4 linked regions of the Mus musculus genome follow. The protein of the gene in region 3 interacts with the protein of the main gene of each other region in a pairwise test. Links are inferred from orthologs where the notes say so. Each region holds a gene or a part of one and is shown on either strand. Other genes may lie near its edges.

Region 1 (4,073 bases), on a different chromosome or scaffold from region 3:
CTTCTTCTGACCTCTGCAGGCACCAGGCACACAGATAATGCACAGATGGACATGCAATCAAAATACCCTTACATATAAAATAAAAATAAGTGAATCTTTTTAAAATTAATTTCATCTATTTATTTATACTGTTTAATGTGTCTACTAGAATATTTTAAATTAGGCAGTGGTGGCACACGCCTTTAATCCCAGCACTTGAGAGGCAGAAGCAAGCGGATTTCTGAGTTCGAGGCCAGCCTGGTCTACAGAGTGAGTTCCAGGACAGCCAGGGCTACACAGAGAAACCCTGTCTCGAAAAACCATTAAAAAAAAGAATATTTTAAATTAAATATGTAGCTCATTAATTTCTACTAGGCAGGGGCTGGTATTGCATACAACTATATTCAAGGTTTTTTAAATACATTTTTGGCAGTTTCATTTTATATCCTAAGGGGGCCTCAAATTCACTATGTAGTTCAGGATACCCTTAAACTCACAATCCTCCTGTGTTAGCGTCTGGGAGTGATGAGATTACAGGTATACACCACCACACCCAGCTCGATTTTCAAAAGACTTTATAGAATGAGCAATCATAAATACATCAGTAAAAGAAAATATAAACTTGGATATTATAATAATAAATCACAAGGGCATCTATATAACAACAAACTAAAGAAGCTAAAAGTCCAAACAAAGGAAAATAAGAATTTGTCTCCAAACCTACCATATGAAAAGGTATATGTGAAGCTTACTCAAGGCATGGTCTCATTATACTGCCTAGGATGGCCTCAAACTAGCCTCCTATCTTTCAGGAATTGCTTGTGTGTGTGTGTGTGTGTGTGTGTGTGTGTGTGTGTGTGTGTGTCTGTGTGTATGTTTGTGTGTTTCCGCACACGTGTGCACTTATAAGTGCATATGTGTAACATGTCACCAGTATAGAGGTCAGAAGACAATCTTCCAGAATTTCTTCTCTCCTTGCACCATGTGGATCCCAGGGATCAACTCGGGACACCAGGCTTGGTGGCCAGCATCTTTACTGGCTAAGCCATCTCACCTGCCCTTACAGTTAGTTTTTCTAACAGTAAATAAATTTTAAATTTCTTAAAGATAAACTTCTTTATAGCCCTGAGGTTGAATGGCTTGTGGATGGCAGCATTTTTTTTTCTGAAAAAAATCATTTTACAAGCAGAACATACAATACTTCGTTGCCTTGATACTATAGAAGCAAATATGCTCGTTCCTCAAACCCCTGCCTTAGAGGCAAGCTAACTGCCCTTATTCAGGCCTTACAATTAGGACAAGATAAGATCTTAACAGCCGCATCATCTCCAAGAATAAGTTTATATTGTTAGCTGCCCATCTGCTTGCAACAACTTCCTGAATGTCCTTTTTTTTTTTTTTTTTTTTTTTTGGTTTTTCGAGACAGGGTTTCTCTGTGTAGCCCTGGCTGTACTGGAACTCACTCTGTAGATCAGGCTGGCCTCGAACTCAGAAATCCACCTGCCTCTGCCTCCCAAGTGCTGGGATTACAGGGATGCGCCACCACTGCCCAGCTTAAATATACTTTTTACACAGTATTTTTTCAGGTTAAACAGTATGATTCCGCATCTCCTAAAATTCCTGGGGAAAAGCTATAGATTATGACCAGAAAATAAGCTATGGATTGTCAATTTTGTTTCCTTACACTAGTTCATAAAAGGTTCCAAATATTATTTCTGGTACATACATGAGGAAAACTGGTGCACTGAGTACTGTGAAAAGACAAACTTATGAGACAAACTGCACTGCTGGGCCTCCACTCCAGGGATTTACATGTGGAAGGCAAACACTGCCACAGAGCTCTCTCCGAGCTTGTTTTCATTTTGTTTGGTTTTGTTTTGGGAAACAATATTTGAGGTGTTGCTCCAGCCTTAGTCTTACAAATGCTGGGATTATAGGCCAGGTGTGGTGTTTGACACCTGCACTCTGGAAGCTTAGGTAGGAAGATTGCAAGTTTGAGGATAGCCTGGGCTACATAAAGTTCTAGGTCAGCCTGAGACACAGAGTAAAAACTCTGTCTCAAGAAGCCAAAGAGGAAGCCAGGCGGTGGTGGCAGAGGCAGGCGGATTTCTGAGTTCGAGGCCAGCCTGGTCTACAGAGTGAGTTCCAGGACAGCCAGGGCTACACAGAGAAACCCTGTCTTGAAAAAAAAAAAAAAGCCAAAAAGGGGCTCTTCCAGTCTCTTTGGCCTCGGAGGTAGAAGCAACATGACAAAAGGAACGGCATCCTTTGGAAAGCATCCCAAAAACAGGCACACATTGTACCGCCGGTCTCCGTGGCTCTAAGGACGACCACTATCAGAAATCTATCTGTGGCAAACGTGGCTACCCTGCCAAGCGCAAGCAAAAGTCTAACTGCAGTGCCAAGGCTAAGAGACGAAGTACTGCAGAGACTGGGCGGATGAGACACCTTAAAATTGTCTATGGGAGATTCAGACATGGATTTCATAAAGGAACAACACCGAAACCCAAAAGGGCAGCCGTTGCAGCAACCAGTTCATCTCGAGGATTTCAATCAGTCATAAAATAAATGTTATCATACAAAGCTTGCTTACCTCTGAAGTCCAAGAAGTAAAAGTCAGTAATGCGGTCCATTTTTTAAATGTCTGGCTCCAGCCTATGGAACACGAATATATTTTAATATTCTGTCCTCAAGTCTCTAATTTCTCAAAAAGACACTTCTGCCAGAAAACTATACCCATTACTTATTACCTGAAGGTGCAGGGACGTTGAGGAAGCTGCAAATCCAGGAGAAAGTTGTTAAACAGGGAGGCGTCTGCTCTCCCACACCCGAAACGCTTGCTGGCGTCTCGCGTCTCCGACTCCGTCTCCGTCTCTCCGTCTCTGGTGGCCCGAAGCCGAGGCCGGAAGGAGAGATTCACGCTTTACCAGAGAGTCACGCTCTGTGATTGGTCTGTCTGTCACTCAGTGCCCCGCCCTCGTCGTGCAGACAGAATGAGTCACGCTCTGTGATTGGTCTGATTCAATGTTCAAAAACTCTCGTGCGCATCCCATCGGCCCCTCGTTCTTGGATGCGGTTTTTTTGGCGCCTTCTTTCCCGCTCTTGCACGCCTTTCCGCTAACAGTCACTGAATTGGCGCTGAGCTTCCCGCCGTCCATAACCCACCACCACCCCCCATCATTTAAATGACCAACTTCCGCTGCCCACAAACTTCTCGTTCCAAAGATATTGCCTCAAAGCATCTCTAAGAAGTGGCGCAGCACTTGGGAGGCAGAGGCAGGTGGATTTCTGAGTTCGAGGCCAGCCTGGTGTGAGTTCCAGGACAGCCAGGGCTATACAGAGAAACCCTGTCTCGAAAAACCAGAAAGAAAAAAAAAAGTATGTTCAAATGTCTGTTTCTTCTTGCTAGTTCTAAAACCTGGGCTGCAGATGTGGGGTCCCGAGTTCGATAACACACACACTTGAAGCTCTGATGTCATAACACACACACATACACACTCATACATATACAAGATGAACGAAACCACCTGACAAGACCGGAGCACTTGCTATCCATTAAAAAGCTCCCCGTCTCTGCTTCTCGTCAAAAGCCACTCCCGTTTGGCCTTTACGGTATATTGATCCTCCGCCTTGGAATCCTGTCTAGATTCTCTATATTGGATAAAACCAGAACAAGACTATCAGGACAAGGTCTATGATGTAAGACCAAAAGTGCACTGCCCTTAAAGGAAAGGACAGATGGCCAGGATTACAGAAAGAAAAGAATAAGAATTCACACACATGCACACTACAAAGATGGCGGAGGAATAGTAGACAGCGCTGCTCAGTGTTTCAAACTGGCAAGGTATCCCAACACAGTAGCACAGGCTTGTAAAGTCTCAGCAGTCAGAGGCTAAAGCAAGAGAATCCCTTGAGCCCGGGCATTCTGGATCAGCTCAGAAGCGTAGCAAAACCCCAGCAAAGAAATAAGTAAGTCGTGTCAAAATTCAGAAAAATAAGAAATTGTGCACTCTGAGCCAGGCGTGGTGGCGCACGCCGCACACCTTTAATTCCAGCACTTGGGAGGCAGAGGCAGGCAGATTTCTGAGTCCGAG
Region 2 (4,345 bases), on a different chromosome or scaffold from region 3:
ATAGTGTCAGTTTTTATTTCAATTTGGTAATGTGCCAGTTTTTAGTTACCAAATAATGCATTAAAAACCCCAGTCTCAAATGTGTAGTCTAATAGAAGGCACATGATTAACCTTTCTATTAGAAGGCATTAAAGGCTAAGCCTGACCATCAGGTTTGGAGATCTTAAGTATATATTAAATGTAAGTTACATAGGAAATTATTTAATAGATGCTCAGTAAATAAATGTAATTGGGTTAAGTCATCTGTTTTGTTTTTCAAAGACAGTTTTCTGTGTAGCCCGGGCTGTCCAGGAATTCACATTGTAGACCAGGCTGGCCTTGAACTCACAAAGATCAACTTACCTCTGCCTCTTGATTGCTGAGGTTAAAGGCTTGTGCCACCACACCCAGTTGCCTTGAGTTTTTTGTTTTTAATATATAAAGATTTATTTTTTTTTTTTAATGTACACAAGTACACTGTAGCTGCCTTCAGACACCAGAAGAGGGCATCAGATCCCATTACAGATGGTTGTGACCCATCATGGGATTGCCTGGGAATTGAACTCAAGACCTCTGGAAGAGCAGCCAGTGCTCTTAAACACTGAGTCATCTCTCCAGTCCTACCATGAGTTTTTTAAGTTTCAAATCTGGCGGCTGGAGAGATGGTTCAGTGGTTAAGATCACTAGCTGCTCTTTCAAAGGACCTGGATTTTGTTACCAGCTCCCGCATAGCAGCTCACAGCTGTCTGAAATTCCAGTTCCAGGGGAACACTCTCTCACATACATACATGCAGGCAAAACACCAATGCACATTAAAAAACAAAATGAAAAAAAAAAGATTGTTCAATAGTAGAGTGAGGGGTGCCTGGTTAGAAGCACCACTAAGCCTTGGAGTCTAGGTATATAGATAGAGAAGTTCAAAGTGCTCTAGAGGCAGAAAGAAGCAAGAGGGCTTAGTTTTAGGCTTGTCTGAGTTACACAGCCCGACGTTGGTCTTTCTTTTCTTTTGAAGCTGGACATGGTAACTAAACGCCTGTACCAGTTTATAGTTTCCTAATGAAACCTGTATCCACAACCTGTTTTAGGTACCTTATACCACTCAAGCCTAAGGGCGGGGCAGGAAGGGGGCGCTAATAAGTTTCTCCAGTCTTGTTCAATGTAGGGATTCAAACTCAGATCTGAATGCTTCTTAGCCATCTTTGAGTCGCCGTCTCCTAGTTCATCCGTCCGTCTGTAGTCCTGGTTTCTATCACCTCTATGGGCTTCTTAACCTTACAAGCAAATTAGCTGAGGTTTGTGTTTGAGCAAATAGGATATCTCACACAGGTTTCACAAAAATCTTGTTCACGGGAATAAATCCCGAAAATACCCACTTATTGAAGATATCCGGTGGGAAAGCAACTGCGGGTCTCCTGAGTGTATAGGCAACTGCCCTATCCCTGAGACAGGGAAACCTTTCCGTTGCTGAGGCGACAGACACGACCTGGCCGTTTGGTTCTCCCGCGCACCCAGATGACGTCAGGCGGCGAGATTCTCTTACGCCAAAGCTTCCGGCTCACCATCTTTGTCCCTGGCAAATTGGGTTTTGCGCAGTGGCTTAGATCTAGAGAGAATCGTGACGGGCAGGAAACCATTACACCACCACCCCGGCTGTGCTCTCCGACTGCCGCCGCCGCCGCCGCCACCCCGCCCTTGCCTCCGGTGAGTTCAAGGCGGCTGGCTTTGGGGTGTGCCCTGACTGACTCGCGGTGCTTGTGAGGGAGGGGAGCCCCAAGCCGGGTCATAGGCTCAGGAGGAAAGGAGAGCCGAGGAGCGTGACGGTTGAGGGTGGAAGGAGTCCTCGGGTGTGACCGTTGTGAGGGAAAAGCTGGGAGAAAGTGCCTCCATCGTAGTGACCGTGGTGGCCTGGGGCTGCGCTCCGGTGTAGCAGCGGGAGTTGGGGGCTTCGGAGCGAAGCAAGGTTCCGAAGACCGGCTTGGGGAAGGCTCAGGCCAGGGGTGTGGCCGCTGGAGGCCGAGGGAGAACCACCCAGCTCTCCCGTTTGACATCTGTTCATTGAGAAAGAAGCTCCGACGTGTCTCCACGACTAGGGAGAAGGGATTCCCGCGACCGTTTGGTCACTGAAACCTCTCTTGTCGCACGTATTTGGGGTTAAGAGGCATCTCTCCTTACCTAGTGAAAATTGGACAGATTTCTTGACCTGGGGAAGTGGATAAAGAGAATGGGGACTAACTGTACTTCGAGGAAGGAAGGAGAAACCTGCATAATTGAGGCCACCCCCACCCTCTGTGTAAGAGGGGAAAATAAATCTTAGCATGGAATTTTGTTTTTCTTTTTTTTTTCCCCCCTCCCTATATTCCCTGGGGTTATCAGGAGCAGTCTAGTTTGGGCAAGGCTGTAAATTCTACTAGAAGTGAAAAAAAAAAAACAAAACAAAACCCTGGAATTTCCTGCTATTTCTTTATTCTTTGAATTCACAGGATGTATTAGCTTTTTGAGCAGCCCTCTTTTTAGGAGAAGGCTCTTATTAAACTCAAGCAATTTAGTTATGAAGCAGTGTGAATGTGTCATGGATGCTTCGCTGAATTTTTTTACTTTTAGAAGGGAGATTTTTTTTTCTTTTATTTTAGTGGCCAAACTTTTTTTTTTTTTTTGCAACCTTTGTGGTTTAAAAGACAAAGAACACACTGTAAGCTCAGTAAGGCTAGTGACTAAGAAGGAAGGTGGTCTCTTAGAGAGGAACAATTTAAATTATTAACTGCTCTCCTGTGCAGTTCACTGCTTAGCCTTAGGGTGCACTTACAAGGTAATAATAGAAAGCGGCAGGTGAAGTAGGTGCAGCCATCGGTAACACATTCCAGTGATGACTAAGTGAGGCGGGCGGGCATGTAAACTGAGAACTGAGTAGGTGCCTTGCAGGGTAGACTCCCTGAGAAAGAGAGGGGAGTGTGCGCTGCAAACAGCTCAGTCAAGTTGTGTGGTAAATTAAAACAGAGTAAATATCCTGATGAATTAAGATCAGAGAGGTCCCTCGCATCCTTTTCTTCTGGAAAAGATTTTGCTTTCGTCTCAAGGCACACATTTGAACCATGTTAGACAAGGGGCATTCAGAAGGAGGATAGCATCCCCATTTTTCTTCTTTCCTCCTGGGCTTAAGTTTTCCAAAATGTCCTGGCATTTCATAACAGTTGGGTGTAAGACTGTTGGGCTTCTTTCTTTCCGTATAATCCTATATTAATAAATTAACTTGTAGTTATTTAAATAGAAGCCAGAGGTGGATTTAGCTTTTAACGTTTTATTTCTGACAAGCTAAATTAATCTGAGGCTGCTGCTGTCCTTATGTTATGAACATCTGGCCAGCAATGGTCTTTATACCACTCATCCTTGTAAGCAGAGGTGACTGGAATGACTTTCTGCTTTAGAATTTACTGAACTCTGGCTAGTATTGACTTCATGTGCAAAGGAGGGCACAGTGGTCTTGCTAGTGCTAACGCTGGCTGCCATTTTCCAGAGAACCATTTGAAATTAAGACCTTATAATTTTTTTTTTCTGACTGTATTCTACCCAGCCTATTAATCTTGTTTCACTGCTGAGCTGCTCTTTTGGGGAATTGGAGGAAGGGAAGGCTGGAAGGAGAGAAAGGACTTCGACAACCTATATTTATCAGAAACTAGGTTATGTTAATCTAGATATATAACCTTGTACAGGGAGGCCTGGGAAAGGCAGTGGAGCAATGCTGTGGACTAGGACAAGTCCAAGGATCCTTGCCTTGCCCTGTGGCTGCTCTGTCCTTTAACAATGTCCCCAGGCCACACGATAAGTCAGTCAGTGACCTTTCAGGTTTCATGTCGTATAAGATTGTGTACGTTCAAATTCCATTGTGGCTTGTTTATTTCTAGGGATTTCCTGAAAAACAAAAATTTGCCCCAGTAAGATTGAGTTTTGAAGCACTAGGCAAGTTGAAATTGTGTTTTTCCCGTTCTCTTGTGGCTTGTGTGTGTGTGTCTTATGTGTGTGTGTCTTCTACTATAGGCATCAGTGTCTATCCGGCAAGTGTGGGGGGCTTGGATTAAAAAATAGTTATATGTCATTGTGAGTTGAAAGTCACGGGGACATTAAAGTTCTGTCATTACCACCTCTTCTCCTTTTAATTAAATACTTAAAATTCATGCAAGTATATAATGTGTTTCGATCCAGGCCATCCCTGCCCCCATCCTTCCTTTCTACTGTTGCTTTTGTTTAGACTATTTTCATTTTTCCTTGTCCCTCCCACCCCCTTAAAGCAAGGATAGACTGGATACCTTTTTTCTTTGCCTGTATGATGGTGATTATTTCATCACAATTATTGGCTATGGTGTCAGTTAAA
Region 3 (4,164 bases):
TCCTTTGCACAAGGATCTGGGGCATTACTTGATGGTGAAGACAGTGTTGTATCGAGTATCTGCTCTGACCTATAATGAAAGACAAGATTCTGGAGACAGGATATTTTAACTCCCATGCACATACAGAACAGAACGGAAACTAGAAGCTAAGCAAGACCTTGGCTCATCTATGTGTAGAAACTACCATGACTACAGGTCAGGCATGGTGGCGTGAGCCTTTAATCCCAACAGTGAGAAGCAGGAGGATCATCCTGAGTTTCCAGACAGCTTGAGCTACTCAGGCAATTTTAGGCCAGCCTGGTCTATGAATGTGTGCATGCCTGCACGCTTGCACACTGGAGAAATGGCTCTGGCATCCTGCATACCCCTAGAGACACAGCTCCAAGGGAAAAAGGCCAGCTGGGGCTTCAACAGCTAGACCCAAACATGATCCCCAGGGTCAGCGAGACTCTGGCCTGAAAGGAAAAAAAGCGAGAGCAATAGAGTCCTGAGGCCTTCTTCTGGTGGTGTCCACACAGGTACAGAAGGTTACTTGCACACACAAGTTTGTATACACAAACACACACACACACACACACACACACACACAGGTACTCACATTGATGAGCGGAATAGCTTGCTGTCTGGAGGGGCAATCCTCACTGTCACTGGGCTGCACACCATCCTGGAGTTCCGTGGAGACAGCACAGCCTTCTTATGGCCACCATTCCAGCAGACGGTTGGAAGTGCCCCAAGCAAGGAATACTGGGCTTGCTGAATGGGATATCGTCTTCGGGGTGTTATAACAAACCGACTGGACAAAGGCCCACAATCTCTGTGGAGAACAGGAGACAGACACTTGATGGAACCACAGTTTTTGTTTTTGTTTTTTTTTAATTTATTTTATTTATATGAGTACACTGTAGCTGTCTTCAGACACACCAGAAGAGGGCATCGGATCCCATTACAGATGGTTATGAGCCACCAAGTGGTTGCTGGGAATTGAACTCAGGACCTCTGGAAGAGCAAGCAGCCAGTGCTAGTAACCACTGTGTCATCTCTCCAGTCTGGAACCACAGTCTTAAAAGAACACCAAATTCAACTGACTGCAGAAACAAGAGGCATTAACACTTCTTTCAACCTCTTATTTTTCTGTTAGACAGTGCTGGTAGCAGAAACTAGGGGTGTGTGCATGCTGGACAAAGCACTCTATGACACTAACAGCTCAGACTTTAAATTTCTCTAAGCAGCAGAGAACGTAGCATTTTTTGGCACATTTCTCCCATTTCATCCAAAGGCAGAAAATATCAGTTGCTTAATGGCTGTCTCTACCACAGACTTCATCAAATTAAGAGGGAAACTGGAAACCTTGCCCACATGGGTACTTCAGAAGAAAAGCACATGCAGTTGGGATGTGTAGGAATAGTTTTTTTTTTTTTCCTTTCCCCCAACTAACCACCAATACACAGCAAAAACCAAACATTAACAGGTATTCACCACCTCAACTAAGCAGACTTATCAAGGCCAGTGAAACGTCTTGTGAAGGAGCTTGCTGCCAAGCTGGAGACCCAAGATCAACCTCAAATTCACGTGGAAAGAGAAAAAGGACTCCAGCAAGCTATCCTCTCATCTCCCTGTGAATATGCAATTTAAAAAGAAAAAAATGCTTTTATCCAGAATCCGGGTTGAGTGTAGTGGAGCACACCGGTAATCCCAGCATTTAGTAGGTGAAGGCAGGAGGGTCAGCAATCCAAAGTCACCCTCATGAGTTCAAGGGACAGCTCAGATACATGAGATCCTGTCTCCGGGGGGGGGGGGGGGGGGAACAAAAACCCAAAGGCTGGGGAATAGGTAGAGGGCAAGCTTGCCTGCTATGACTGAAGCTGTGGGTTCTATCCCAGCACAGCATACAACCTGGTGCAAACCTGTAATCCTATCAGTGAACTCGCTCAGAAGACGAGGCAGGAGGATGAGTTCAAGGACAGGCTCAGCCAAAGAACGGGGTTGAGATTAGACAGCCTATGCCATCAAATACCCTCTCTTAAAAAAAAAAAAAAAGAAAAAGAAAAAAAATAAAGAGAAAAGAGAGTAATGGGAAAAGGGAGGGAAGGGCGTAGAGATAAAAAGAAAGGGAAAAGGCAAAGAAAAGAAAAAGGGGAGGTGAGTTAAATCCGATTTACAGGTTGAGCCCTACGTCAAATCCGCGGCCGCAGAGACCCCACCCTGGGAAGATCGCCGGGGCTTACCGGTGGGGCGGCCTCCGGGAGGGTCGCAAAAGCGGGGTGGGGAGCGCGGGGTAGACGTGGTGGACTCGCTGGACCGCCGAGGCCGGAGGCGGGGAGCGTGCGGGTGGGCGGCGCCCCGGCCTCTCCCTTGGGTCCTGCCGGAGGGCAGGCTCGGGCGGGCCGGGCTTGCCCAGGTAGCTGCCCATGAGTAAGAGCTCAGCCGGGTCGGGGCCTCCCAGCGGGCTGCGGGGTTCGCAGAGGCTACCGTTGACTGGTGACTTGGCCGGAGGCGGTGAAGCGGTGAGAGCTGGCCGCGGGTGACGGCGCGCGTCGCGCACGAAGGACGACAGGGCCCTCGGGCCGCGGGGTTCTCGGCTCAGGCCCCACCAGGCCGCGCTCGCCCCCACGGCCAGCCAGGCCAGCGCGGCCGCCGCGGGCACCAGGTAGAGCGCGAGGCCGAGCAGCGCTAGGCCGAGGGCCGCAGCACCCGCCGGTCCTCCGTAGCCGCGGGCCCGGCTCCGGCCTTCCCGTCCGCCCAACGGGGGCCGCCGCCGCTCGCCTCCGTCAGCCGCCGCAGCCGCCGGAGACATCGCGGCTCCGCGCCGCGGAGCGGACTTAAATATCCCAGGGTACACCGCGCCGCGCGCCGCCGCCGACGTCACTGTCGTCGACGCGGCGCGCCGGGTGGAAAGGGGAAACCGCCGCCGCGTGCGGAGCACGGCGCGAGAGCCCTAGTTTGAAAAATTACAGCTTAGGTAGGCGGATCGGTGCACGCCTTGCCTCTCAGAACGCGGGAGGCGGAGGCAAGAGGAGTTCCGTGAGTTTGAGTCCAGCCTGGTTCACAAAGACAGTTCCAGCGCGACATGGAGACATAAAGCCTGTCTCAAAACAGCAAAACTTAAAAAAAAAAAAAAAGAAAGAAAGAAAAGAAGAAAAGTACAGCCCGGTTTTTGACGCTGGAGGTTTCCCTGACGCTCCTGGACTGCAGAGGAGTGATGTTAGAAATCAAGGCACAGAACGGAGATGGGTGGCACGCGCCTGTAATCCCGGCATTTGGGAGGTGAAGGCAGGAGGATCCCGAGTTCTAAGTCAACCTGGGCTACTTAGTGAGACCCTCCCCGTCTAAAACAAAATAAAACCCGATCAGTCAGACCCTGTATTGGAAAAGGCCAATCAGGCCCTGTGTGGAGGCTCACTGTTTATCGCAGCGAGGTCAGTTCCAGGCCTGCTGGAGCAACACAGTGAGACCCTGTCTCAAAATAATTTTTTAAAATGTGTGTTTTGCTTGAATGTATGCTGGGATTACATTCACACCATCACATCTTACACTTGCGTGGAGGTTGAGGGTCAACGGCAAGTGTCTTTCAATCTCCTTTTTTTCTTTTCTTTGTTGTTGTTTCTCGAGACAGGGTTTCTCTGTATAGACCTGGCTGTCCTGGAACTCACTCTGTAGACCAGGCTGGCCTGGAACTCAGAAATCCACCTGCCTCTGCCTCCCAAGTGCTGGGATTAAAGGCGTGCACCACCACCGCCCAGCAAGTCTTTCTCAATTACACTGCACATTATTCTTTGACACAGGGTCTCTCACTAAACCCAGAGCTCACCAACCTGGCTAGGCTGGCTGGCCAAAAAGACCCAAAATCTTTTTGTGCCTACCTCAGTGCTTGGGATTACAGGGGCTCCTACTGTGCTCAAGCAAGCTTGCTCAGCAAGCCCTGTACCAATGGAACCATCTTCCCAGTCCATATTTCCCCCCTTTCCATCCTTCCCTCCGTTCCTCCTTTTGTTTGTTTCTTCTTTTTTTGAGGATGATAGACTGAGAGCTATTCCTCCACAATCAAGAGTAAGATAAGACTAGACTTGGGGAGGGAAGGCTAGATGGATGAGGGAGAAGCGGGGAGAGGCAGGGATTAGAGTTTAGAGACGATGCATATTGTTAATAAAACTAGCTGAACTGGTA
Region 4 (4,046 bases), about 1.9 Mb from region 3:
AGCTCAGTTGGTAAAGTGTTTGTCCAGCATGCACGAAGCCCTGGGTTCCATTCCTAGCACCACAAAGAACAGGTCTGGTGGCCCACACCCAGAATCCCCGTATCTCATGGATAGAAGGAGGAAATTCAAGGTCTTCCTTAGCTACACATAAGAGTCTCAGGCCAGCCTGGGACATGAGACGTATTATCTCAAAACAGCAAACAAGTAATCAAAGAAACAAAACCCAAGATGTTCCTTTGGGTGATGGACCAATTGATCTTGGGAAACCTGCGCCTTGGGCTGCCTTCAGACTTGCTCTGCAGCTCAGGCTCTCCTCCAGATAGGCCCAACTCACCACATTTAGCTTCTTCCTTCTTATACCTCACCCGACTTCCAGTCCCACCCGACTGAGTATCTGGCCCTCTCTTAGACAGGAACCTGCCTGTCTGACTTGATGCTTCATTTAGCATCCCTCTGTCACAGCCCAGCCGCTCACCACATAGCAGCTCTCACAATATGCCCGCCTCTCCACAGCATAGAAGTGCTGGCCCCGGAGCTGGGCCCGACAGGTAGAACACACAAAGCAACCAATATGGAAGACACGGTCCAGGGCCACAACCCCAGCTCCATCGCCCACCACATCTTCGCCACAGCCACCACACCGACCTGAGGACAGAGAGGAACGAGATCAGCCTCCACAGACCCACAACAGCAGATCCTCTGTCTCCTCCCTGTCTCCACCCTATCCAGCAGTCAGCTCACCAAAGTACTCCCCACTGGGAGGGTGGCTCATGTCATGCACCAGTTTCTTGGTCAGTCTCTCCAGTTCCTCTTCAGGAGGTTGGCCTAAGGGGCCCTAGAGTGAGAATTGGGGCTTTGAGGCGCTGCCTATAGTCTCAGACACCATAAATAACTCATACAGTCAGGAACCCCAAAATCTCAGAGGACATCTCTCAGAAGCTGATAGGGGGAAAGGAAGCCCCTTCCCTTTGGACATCTTGATCCTTGACCTCTGAGTACCTTAAAACTGGGATTGACTTATGCACTTATTTATATTTGAGACAGTGTCTCATATAGCCTAGGCTGGCCTGGAACCCATTATGTGCGTCAAATATGACCTTAATTTACTGATTCTCCTGCCTCTACCTCCCCCGCACTTGGTTTATACAGTGCTGGGTCTAGAACCTTGGGATTCCTGCATACTAAGCAAGCACTCTACCAACATCTCCTAAAAACAGTATCTTAAGTACTCCTCGGCCTCCACGCCACCTAATCAATGCCCAGTTACTTCCGGTGACCACAAACCACAGTGCCCAGCCCCAGCTTACCTGAGGCTCATGCCCACCTCCTCTCCCTCCTCCTGCAGGGATATGTACTCCAGAAGGTCCCTCCGGAACCCCCGGTCCTGGCTCTCGGTGGCTCCTATAGCCAGCCCCCCAGACTTCACCACGACCTGTCAGAGGAAAGTGGGGGCCTGGAAGAGGCCCAGAGGCCTGAGAGGCCCCTCGCCTGGGCAGTCCACAGCCTCTCACAGGTTGAGCCACCTTCACTTGTACAGGGAAAGCAGGGCCAGCTGGCGTGCTCGCGGTAGCATAGGAGGCTGGGGTAGGTCCACCATAGTGGGATGCTGGGAGCATCGGGGTTGGAACAGCACCTCCACTGGGCTTCAGGGAGCCTCCGCGGTAAGCATGGGGTGGGGGAGCCTCAAAAGCCTGGGAAGACAAGCAATGCAGAAACAGTAAAGCCAGACCCAAGATCCATGCGTGCCAGGTGGGAACCCCAGGGTAGCAATGACTTCTGACAAGTTCCCATGGCCTAGGCCTGCCAAGGAGGAAGTGCGTGATTCCTTGAACCAGGTGTTTATTAGTTGCAAAGAGGGTAGGTGGGCAGTGAAGAGGGTGGACTGAGGCTGAGAAGCTAGGGCAGGGAACTGGCTGAGGATGGGGAAGCAGAGACAGAACACAGGAAGTCACCTGTCTGTCTGGCCGCCTAGGTGCATGACTGCGACCCCCGTCCAGATCAGCCAACATGCTGGTGAGCGAATCTATCTCAGCATCCAGACTGCCAGGGCGGATGATCCCCCTGTCTGGAGGGAGCCCCTGAGACAGAGGGAAAGGAGGAAGAACAAATGCTGATGACACCCCCGACCTAGACTTCTTTCACCTTGACCCTGAGAGACCCTACCCTCATCTCCACTTCTCACCTGCAGGCGCTGGGGTGTTCCATGGGATCCCACCCAAGTAGGCCCCCGATCTTCCGGTACCCCCGGAGGCTGATAACAGTGTTCAGGCGGGAGGGGGCAAAAGTTGACCCTGGGGTGAGGCTGGAGTGCTAAAGGGAGAGACAGGAGGTGGGACTGGAGAAGGGTACCTCGGTAGAGCTGCCCTTCTAAGGGTGGCTCTCCTTCTTCACATTCCCGGGAGTCTGGGAATCAACCAAGAGTCAGGGAAAGTTGCACAAGAGCTGGGGCCTCTGGTTTGGGAAAGGGACAGCAGGAAGCAGGCAGGCAAGGGAGAAAAGGTGAAGGAAGGTGGCCAGCGGCTCTTCTGCTACTCCGGCGTGTGTGAGAGAGGAACACTTACTTGCTCCGTGGGCCGTTGGCGGGCCCAGGGCGCCTCTGGGCAGCGATCTCCCCTGAGGGAGTCTGGAGGGTTCTGGCTGCTTCGGGGGAAGCCAGGTGGGCCCGGACATGGTCTGGAATAGGGTTACTCCACTCCAGACAGAGGTCAGGGTCCCCACAAGCTCAGAGCCTGGAGCTCGGAGCCTTGGGCCCTTTCCCTCCCTTACTGTCCCACGCCCCGTTTGGGACTCCCGCAAAGAAACTTTTTCTGGCTTTTTTTCCTCCCTTCCTCCCCAATTTTGGAGACGACCACGCCCCCTGACGTCACCACATTCCAGGGGAGGGTCACGTGGCCCCAAGCCTTATTCTACAATCCTTCCCCTCTCTGGCCCCCTCCTGTTAAGAGAAGACCGCCCTCCTCCGGAGCCAAGCTGCAGGGTGGGCTGCAGGCCGCTCTGAGAGGCTCTGGCCCAGCAATTCTCTCGGATCCCTGCCCCAGTCTTGCACGTGGCAGCCTCTCGGCCCAGGCTCTGAACGCATCTGTCTCCACCCCCTCACGGTTCTCTCCCTTCCCACCCGGCTGCCTCTCACCTACCCACCAGCAGTGCTCCACCAGCCCATAGTGTTTCGGTCTTTTATTTATGGTCAGTAGTTAGAAAAATAAAACAAAACACAAACATCACCACCCAAGGAAGTCGGGGAGAGGGAGGCGGTGCGTCTGTGGCCAGGATGGGGACACTGAGGTAGCCTAGAGTCACAGAAGAGGCCAGCCCCTCTGGTCAAGGCACCAGTGAAGGAAGCGGAGGAAGACCAGGGACAGGGCCGCAATGTCCTCCCCTACAATGGGGCAGCCACCTAGAATTAGTGTACTATGTCCGTTCCCCCGCCCAAAGGAGACCATGGTCCCCTTAACACATCATCCAAAGGGCAGGGCCCACTTGGGGCGGGGGGAGGGGCGTCCATTGCTCAGAATGAGCCTGGGCCCGCTCTATCCAACCCTGTATGAACAGGCATCAGAGATCAGTGCAGGTTACCGGAGTGACCCCGTGAATAAGAAGGGTGGGACCCAGATCACGGCTCAGGGTCTCCAGCAGTGCCAGGTATCTGGGGTAGCGAGCAGGATCAGCAGGCGGTCGAGGCAGGTACAGGAAGGTAAGGGCTGTGGTGGGTCCCTCCTCCCCATCCCTTCCTTCGGGTCCCCCAGGGCCTCCTACGGTGCCTCGCCCCTGCTGTGCTCGCACCAGGGCATTGGCACTGCAAGCTAGAGCCTCAGCCTCTTCGTCTCCTCGACCACCATTCACAAAGTCCCCTTCCTCCTCCTCAGGCTCGCCAGTCTCTGCCCCTTCACCCCACACCACCTCTTGCACCTCTGCCCGGATCCTGAGTTGACTCAACAGGGCCCGAAGCCTTCCCTCTGCTGCCCCAGGAGCCTCCCTGGGCCCCAAGCACAGGAAGATCCGGAGCCGGGCACTGTGCCAGGCAGGCACCATGCTTAAGATGGTAGCCA

Evidence for each region.
Region 1: the proteins of Pom121 (region 3) and Tex11 interact in binary tests that used the Homo sapiens proteins (3 or more experiments, as listed by UniProt). The two-hybrid records come from large-scale screens. The link is inferred for Mus musculus from reciprocal best matches to the Homo sapiens genes POM121 and TEX11.
Region 2: the proteins of Pom121 (region 3) and Ap2b1 interact in binary tests that used the Homo sapiens proteins (3 or more experiments, as listed by UniProt). The two-hybrid records come from large-scale screens. The link is inferred for Mus musculus from reciprocal best matches to the Homo sapiens genes POM121 and AP2B1.
Region 4: the proteins of Pom121 (region 3) and Trip6 interact in binary tests that used the Homo sapiens proteins (3 or more experiments, as listed by UniProt). The two-hybrid records come from large-scale screens. The link is inferred for Mus musculus from reciprocal best matches to the Homo sapiens genes POM121 and TRIP6.

The regions. Positions count from the first base shown.
Region 1 is NC_000086.7:101,056,784-101,060,856, forward strand, and holds the start of Tex11 (testis-expressed protein 11), read right to left. Parts: upstream 2,857-4,073; 5' UTR 2,730-2,856; intron 2,635-2,729; 5' UTR 2,613-2,634; coding exon 2,573-2,612; intron 1-2,572. UniProt on the Homo sapiens protein: Regulator of crossing-over during meiosis. Involved in initiation and/or maintenance of chromosome synapsis and formation of crossovers.
Region 2 is NC_000077.6:83,301,158-83,305,502, forward strand, and holds the start of Ap2b1 (AP-2 complex subunit beta), read left to right. Parts: upstream 1-1,539; 5' UTR 1,540-1,680; intron 1,681-4,345. UniProt on the Homo sapiens protein: Component of the adaptor protein complex 2 (AP-2). Adaptor protein complexes function in protein transport via transport vesicles in different membrane traffic pathways.
Region 3 is NC_000071.6:135,391,712-135,395,875, forward strand, and holds the start of Pom121 (nuclear envelope pore membrane protein POM 121), read right to left. Parts: upstream 2,836-4,164; 5' UTR 2,795-2,835; coding exon 2,226-2,794; intron 815-2,225; coding exon 599-814; intron 70-598; coding exon 1-69. UniProt on the Homo sapiens protein: Essential component of the nuclear pore complex (NPC). The repeat-containing domain may be involved in anchoring components of the pore complex to the pore membrane. When overexpressed in cells induces the formation of cytoplasmic annulate lamellae (AL).
Region 4 is NC_000071.6:137,311,399-137,315,444, forward strand, and holds the start of Trip6 (thyroid receptor-interacting protein 6), read right to left. Parts: upstream 2,844-4,046; 5' UTR 2,671-2,843; coding exon 2,562-2,670; intron 2,311-2,561; coding exon 2,183-2,310; intron 2,079-2,182; coding exon 1,953-2,078; intron 1,692-1,952; coding exon 1,308-1,691; intron 836-1,307; coding exon 742-835; intron 646-741; coding exon 476-645; intron 1-475. Other genes in the region: Slc12a9 (solute carrier family 12 member 9), read right to left, coding at 3,553-4,046. UniProt on the Homo sapiens protein: Relays signals from the cell surface to the nucleus to weaken adherens junction and promote actin cytoskeleton reorganization and cell invasiveness. Involved in lysophosphatidic acid-induced cell adhesion and migration.